2 linked regions of the Mus musculus genome follow. The main gene of each other region encodes a partner of the protein of the gene in region 2 in a complex. Links are inferred from orthologs where the notes say so. Each region holds a gene or a part of one and is shown on either strand. Other genes may lie near its edges.

Evidence for each region.
Region 1: the proteins of Cwc22 (region 2) and Cwc27 are in contact, whole or in part, in a crystal structure (PDB 6YVH), measured with the Homo sapiens proteins. The link is inferred for Mus musculus from reciprocal best matches to the Homo sapiens genes CWC22 and CWC27. Residues at the interface, in NP_001362958.1 of Homo sapiens: Leu239, Arg242, Lys243, Tyr245, Arg246, Asn248, Asp249, Lys250, His270, Glu271, Val272, Leu275, Glu276, Thr279, Leu280, Leu281, Glu283, Arg284, Thr286, Asp288, Ser289, Val292, Val307, Ser308, Pro309, Arg310, Gly311, Thr367, Met369, Leu372; in NP_005860.2 of Homo sapiens: Arg381, Glu382, Asp383, Gln384, Thr385, Leu386, Leu388, Leu389, Phe392, Lys393, Lys395, Leu396, Thr397, Ile400, Glu412, Asp415, Asp416, Glu417, Gly418, Trp419, Met420, Ser421, His422, Val423, Leu424, Gln425, Phe426.

What each region holds. Positions count from the first base shown.
Region 1 is NC_000079.6:104,806,829-104,810,478, forward strand, and holds part of Cwc27 (spliceosome-associated protein CWC27 homolog), read right to left. Parts: intron 1,005-3,650; coding exon 892-1,004; intron 1-891. UniProt on the Homo sapiens protein: As part of the spliceosome, plays a role in pre-mRNA splicing. Probable inactive PPIase with no peptidyl-prolyl cis-trans isomerase activity. As a component of the minor spliceosome, involved in the splicing of U12-type introns in pre-mRNAs.
Region 2 is NC_000068.7:77,943,817-77,947,566, forward strand, and holds the start of Cwc22 (pre-mRNA-splicing factor CWC22 homolog), read right to left. Parts: upstream 2,541-3,750; 5' UTR 2,334-2,540; intron 2,330-2,333; exon of another isoform or gene 1-2,329. UniProt on the Homo sapiens protein: Required for pre-mRNA splicing as component of the spliceosome. As a component of the minor spliceosome, involved in the splicing of U12-type introns in pre-mRNAs. Promotes exon-junction complex (EJC) assembly.

The DNA.
Region 1 (3,650 bases), on a different chromosome or scaffold from region 2:
TTCATATTCAATCAGCTACGCAGCAGACCAGCAAGACTCAGACAATTTCTAATCAAAAATACTGAAGCTTTATTTAACTGATTTTGAAGTACAATCAAATCCAAATTTACTATCTGTTCAATGCTCTTAAACCTGAATTCTGCAGCTTGTATGTTCTAAATATATTCAGCCCCGTAACTATCTTCTGGAAGTCTACTTACAGAGGAAGGATGCTGCTCAAAGGGAGTCAGAGTCTAAGTCTCATTTTCCTACTCACCTCAGAGTCCTCCAACCCTTTAAAACAGTCCAGTGTTCCCAAGAAACCCACCTTTGAACCACTGTAAAGCCACCAGCTATTGTTGCACATGTTATGAAGTGATGGGTTTCTTCTTGTTTTTCAATTCTGAGAATCTTCTATAAGTGCATTAATGTGATTTCACTGTGTTTTTAAAAGTCCTAAACCATTCTAAGTTGATTCTTCTCAGAGACGGCATGAGTCTGTCTTAGCAGAGTGTAACAGTGCAGGGCTCCACTGTTTCTCAGTTGCTTTCTGTATTCTGAGAGCTACTCAGAACTTCCCCTCAGACTGAACATTGGAATCATCTATGACACACCCATCTAGCACAATAAGTGCCTTTTAAGCATCAGAGACTATTTTTCTTTAATATATTAGCCTTAAGATCTGAATACAGTACATCTCACCAGGAGCCAGATAGACAAATACCTTGACTTTTGCCTTCTAGGCCTTCAGCACAAAGGCTTCCCATAAAATAAATCAGAAAGACTGCTCGGTAGGTAGTATTTGCTCTGATCTCTGAAAAACTTTAACTCCACTGACTTTGTATATTACATGAGACATTCTTGTGGGACACGATCACTTTTGAAGAAGCGTTGCAAGTAAATTGATCTGACCTTGAATGGGGCTCCATAGATAGATTCTCCACCAGTCCCAGTGCCTGTGGGATCTCCACCTTGGACTATAAAGCCAGGTACAACTCTATGAAAAATGGTGTTGTCATAGTAGGCTGAAAAATAATATATCAAGTTCTAAAAGTTAGTATCACTTTAATTATCACAGTTAATATACAAACAGAGCCACAAGATTTAATTTCCAGAATGCTAAATTGGCTTTTAAACCAAAACCTTTCCTCTCCACTTCTTAGAAAACAATCAATTTTCAAACACTATATGTTTCTACAGAGACAATGGTGGTTTAGTTTTGGGGGATTGGTTTGTTTGTCTTTAATCTCCATAATTATCAATTATAAATTACTGTTTTTAAATTAAAAATAAGAAGTTTAATACACACCAATGTCTTTCAACTGGAGGAAAGAGAAGAAGCAATTCTGCACCCTGGGGGCATTTATCAACATTTTCAAATATTTTTGGCTATCAAAACTGGGAAAACTGGGAAATACTACTGGCATCTTGTACAAGATGGCAAGAATACTGCTAAGCATCCTGAAGCCCAAAGGATTGTTTCTGCAACAAAAAATATCCAATCCCAAAGGCTAGCACTGCTGGGGCTCAGAAGCCTAGGTAGGAGATAGCTCATTTTTGCCTCTTCCATTTCTCCTGATAGAAAATTAACTTAATAATGTACAAAAAATATAAACCTGCAGATAGAAGTTCTAGCACTGTCTGTGCAGTCTCCTTTACGTTCAATAAGTGAAATAACGTACTTTATTCTAATTAAATATCTAAGTGATTTTTCAGAAATTATTTATATATAAAAATATAATTTCTAGTCACAAATATGCAGCATCAGTGGTCTCCCTTAGAATGCCTGGTATGAGACCAGAATCATTGAGAAGGAAAACACTAGTTAAGTAGGACAGAAGCATAGGACATCCCCTAAGAAAACTGAAACTGTTGCCTTTTGCTTTCTTTTCCTTCCTTTGTAACAATTTTATATTTTAAGTCCAAGATTAAATCTATAATTACAGATATTTGGGTTTTTCAAAGGATATGACCACCTTTCTTTTTTTTTTCCAACTTTTTATTAGGTATTTACTTCATTTACATTTCAGCCCCTCCCATCCATGCTTTCAATCATTTGCTTTTATTCTGAAAACTACACATTGTTGCTGCTATTGCTATACTGAAAGGTGCATTATAAGACTCAGAAATATTGTAACTTCTTCAAATCATTCTTCCTAAAGATTAAATAGAGTTATCTACATTATTTGACTCACCTAAGAAATACCTATCTTTTTACAAGTGTATGCATGTTTTGCCTGCATGTATGTCTGCACACCACATTCATGCTTGGTGACCATGAAGGCCAGAGGCAGCACAGGATCTTCCAGAAGTAGAGCTGCTGCTGACTGTGTACCGCCATGCGGGTGCTTGGAATTGGACCCCAGACCTCTGACAGGGCAGCCAGTCCTAAATATTAAGTCTTCAGCAGACGTAAGAGCTGAAGTGCCAAGCCATCTCTCCACCGGTCTTCTCAGGTTTTCAGTTAGTTAGCAATAATTTCATTCAATTCTTACCTGTTTAATCATTACAAATATTGCTCTGGTTATCTCTATGTCTGTAAAATTTCCATTCATTTCTTCTACTTATAAAAATGGGAGGATATTTTTTTTCGTTTTGATGCAGGTAAGCTTTGTCAGCCCCCAACTGAACCTCATGCTTATTTCATTGCTGTATTCTGTCCAGATTCTTTCTGTCTATTTATTCACCTGCTCCACGGATTGCAATTTACCATTCATCCTTTCTAGTGTTTTTGTGATTTCACTTTCCTGTAAAATTTGAGCTTCTTTAAACTTATTACCAGAAGTCAGACTTTTCTTTGTCTCATGTGTTTCTTAGCTTTGTTGACAGTTATTCTAACTAAACTACCTGTCTGATTTTATTTCCTTCCTGCCTGCCACAGCAATTACTAATAATGGTCTTTGCAGACCTGTTTTCTTCGTCTCATCTGAGGGACTGGATTCTTTTATCATTATGTCCTTACACTTTCCCCTGTCATGATAGATTTATCTAATTTCTTCTATTTGGAGAGCTTTGTCCATATCATATGACAGGACACTCTGGATTCTTAAATACTTTGTTTCTGACACCACAAAGAACACTGTCTCTAAAAATCAGGTCTAACTGGAAGACAATGACTTGCCACCACTGGAGACATTTAAAGTCGTATGTAGTACATTCTATACGCCAACAAGAAACTGTGAAAACTGTATGAAATGTAAAGCTGCATAAACAATTATTCAAGAATAAAAAATACTAAGTGAATATAAAATTTTGCAAAGCTTCTTATAAAGAAAAATTATCATGTTATGACACAGAGTGATAATGAATCAGGCCAGGTGGTAAGCTTTATGGAAAGCAGACTTTGAACAAAGTGATAAAAATTGGCTTTACTTCCATAAAAAGAGAGTGAAAAACATGGAAAGAAAGGAAGAAAGAAAGAAAGAAAGAAAGAAAGAAAGAAAGAAAGAAAGAAAGGAAGGAAGGAAGGAAGAAAGAAAGAGAGAGAAAGAGAGAGAGGGGGGAAGGAAGGAAGGAAGGAAGGGAGGAAGGAAGGAAGGAAGGAAGGAAGGAAGGAAGGAAGGAAGGAAGGAAGGAAGCAAACAAGCAAGCTAGCTAATATGAGGATTGTGGAAAAGGAAATAGAATGTTCAGGAAATAGAGGGAATGGCTGACTGGAAGCACATGATTAG
Region 2 (3,750 bases):
TGCACAGATTGGTTAGAAATGACCTTTCATATCATTAGAAGTTATGTTTGTATACTTTTTTCTTCTGAGCATATTCTGGTGTAAAGGAAATATTACCATGTAGCCTCTAGACACCAAGCTCGACCACCCATCACAGAAGCTCTGATCTAGAAAGAGCCTCCCCTTGTAAAGTGATTCAGAGCACCCACAGGATAAATTTTCAAGGAGGAAGTATTGAACTTTGCCTGGCTTAAGCCACTACTGAGTTAGGCTCAAAGATAGATTAAAAACAGTTAATTCTGGGTCTCGCTTACTAAGTTATCAATTCTTTAATCATTGAAGCTTTTCCTAAAAAAGGATGCCCCACACTTTCTTTCCTTTCTGTTCACTGGCATTTACTAACATGGCACGATAGGCAAAGGCTTGTTTGAATCCACTCCCCTGCCCATGTGTGCTATCTTTTTAAAAAAAACATTTTAAAAAATGTCTTCAAAGTTTGTGCTGAGGTAAGCATTCAACTGTCTTCTCCCATGTTTACTTGGGAGGTGTAAGAAAAAGTGTTAACAAGCCTGAGAGTTTTCTGAAATCCTTAGTGCTCCATCGGCCTCCCTTGCTCGTAATTGTAGGGAACCTCAAAGTTGGCTCAAGACACTCCAAGAGCGTGTTCTCTGCACAAAGGAGACTTATTTGCCCCAGAAGGACAAAGGGCAAGAAACAGGAGACAAAGACAGGACACTAGGATGAGGGAGAAGGGGAAGGGAACAAGGGAGAGGGTAAAGGGGTATTTGTCCCAAGGGAACAAAGGACTGTCTCTGGATAGAGAGAAGACATACATATAGGAAAATATTAGCGTAGCGGGTAGAGGGGTTAGGCTGAGGTATTTAATTTAAATTGGGCATGTCAATTAGTTGACCCCAGAGAGGTTTTGGATTGTTGGACTTCAATGCTTTGATAGCTGGATCTCTGCAGGTTAGATCAGGGAACAGATCTTGGGGGCTAGCTTGAGGAATGTGATCTAACGGTTTTTAACAAGACACGGGGACTTGGGAAGGAGAGCCTTGTCCACCACATTCAAGCTGGCTAGAGTTCCTGCAGTAATTTCAGACTTACAGAGAAAACAAGGGAAATCTGACAGAAAAACCCTCAAAGACATTAGTTCCAATCTGCTGTATTACCGATAATCACTTCTTTCTGGAACTGGTCTATTTCCAGACTGAGTCTGACTGGGCCAGTCATGAACAAGGTAGGACTCAACTAAAATAACCAGTCTAAACCCGGCTAGCCCACACCTTTAATCCCAGCACTCAGAAAGCAGAGGCAGGCAGAACTCTTTAAATTTGAGGTCAGCCTGCTCTAAGGAGTGAGTTCCAAGACAGTCAAGACTACACAGAGAACAGGAAAAATAAATAAACAAAAGGCAGTTTAAATACAGAGCACAATTAACAGAAAAGGTAGCTCATTTTCACATGTATGGATCTTTTTTGCCTTCATATACATATAGGGACAGTTCAAGTTGCTGGTGCAAGTGGCTATCAGCAAGCAGGTATCCAGTCCCCTGAATCTGATATTATAATTTGTTGTGATCCATCTTGTGGGTGCTTGGATCGAACCTAGATCCCTCTGAAAGAGTGCTTTTAACCACTGGGCAAACTCACCAACGGCTTGCCGGGGCTCAGTTACTGTTTCTATTAATACCTTTCCCCAAATTATTCTTCCGGGGGGCGGGGGGGCGAGTTAAGTGGCTACAATGTATCAAAAAAGTCTTGCATTTAGAGCAGGTCAAACAGCTGGCACAGTGCTGTTTGTACTGTAGGGCCTGCAGCTCGCTAGGGGCAGGAACTGCAAACCCATGTTTGGAAGTTGCAAATAGTAGAGGCTTTTAGAGTTAAGGTTAACTACGTATGCGACCTAAACACAGAAGATGCGAAACATGGATCACTAGGGCTAAACATGACAGGGGTTCAGTCAAGTCAATGAAAACGATCCATAAATGAAAATGTAATAGAATTGGCTACTGGGATAAGCTGGAATGAGGCAAACGCGTTACCAGAATTTATTAATGCCAGCCCCGGGACGCCGACTGGGGACGCGACCCAGGGTGCTCCCAGGAGAGGTGTTCACCGACAACCCAGACCAAGGCCCAGACACGCACGCCCCGCCGCCGGCGCTAGGCCCAGCCGGCTCACACGGCACCTCGCGGGCCGCCGGTGGAGACGGCGCAGCCACATGAGGAAAGCAAGGCCCACCGGGCAAGCGCCCACTCGCAAGTCCCTGCCCTCTCCACGCGACCTAGCAACCCGCCGCCCCCACTCTGGCTCCTAGTCTATCCCGAGTCTTCAGAGTTCCGTAATTACCTAAAGCTCCACCGCGCCGCCATCATACCGGAAGAGCGTCAGTTCCCTTTCCCGGGTGAAAGTAGCGCGAGAAATTAGTGAAAAACTGGTAGTGAATTGGCAGGTATGTGATACGATTAATGATAATGCGGTATAGTAACACCTTGAGTCAAAGCAATCCAGCTAGTAACACTGTCATTCCTTACAAAGAACACGAGAAAAGAACATGTGAGTCCGAGTGAACTACAAAGTCCAGCATGCTCTGGCAGCGCGGACGGAAATGAGTTGTAGTTGGACCGCAGTGCATGACGGGAATTGTAGTTCGTTCGGATAGGAGGTCACACTAGAGACACTTTTGAGAGCTAGGTTTTCGAGGCATGCTTCTTATTCTAACACTACTCATCTTCTAAAGCCATAAAAAGTAGCTCTTAGTAGACACCGTAGCTTTTCTTTCTTTTTTTTTTTTTTCAGTGTAAAAGCTTAACACTAAGATACATACTATGAAACTACCGCAGAGGCTTACTATATAATACCTTGCCTGAAAATAATAAAAAAAGTAGCGATCCCTTTCAGATTTTTGACAGAAGCTTTACCAAAAGTCTGTTTGGGAGAAGAGGGGAAAGTGACAAAATGTTTAGTATCTATTAAGTTCCAAGATTTTAAATTCAAGTGAATGGAAGACTATCTGATTATAAATGATATGTTGTAAGGACAGTGAGAAGTAAATTGGAGGCCCAACATGGTGGTGTCTGCCTTTACTCCAAATATTTTGGAGGCTGAGACTGGCACTGTGTGTTCCAAGACATCCAGAGCTACATAATGAGCCCCTGTCTTGAAAGAGAGAGAGAGAGAGAGAGAGAGAGAGAGAGAGAGAGAGAGGAAGGTGAAAAAAGAAAAGAAGCAAGTTGCCTGGCGTGGTGGCACATGCCTTTAATCCCAGCACTCTGGAGGCAGAGGCAGGTGGATTTCTGAGTTCGAGGCCAGCCTGGTCTACAAAGTGAGTTCCAGGACAGCCAGGGCTATACAGAGAAACCCTGTCTCCGAAAATAAATAAATTAATTAATTAATTAAAAAATTAAAAAAAAAAGAAGCAAGTTGTATTTATGATACTTTCAGGGTTGGAATGTGAAATCTGTAACGAGTTTAGAGCACTGGCCTCAATTATACTGTTTCCTTAGTCTTTGATTTTCAGTGTTACCAAAAGGTAAGTGTTAAAGAGCATGCTAATGTGATTGGAAAGCTCTTCCTAAAACAACATCATCTTTATATTTCAAAGTATTTTGTAAACCAGGCCTGGCTTCTCCAAGAATTTTGTTTATTTTTTAAACAGGGACAAGGTCTCACTATGTAGCCCTGGCTGGCCTGGAACTTACTATGTAGACCAGGCTGGTCTTGAACTCACAGAGATCTGCCTGGCTCTGCTTCCTAGGGGCTGGCA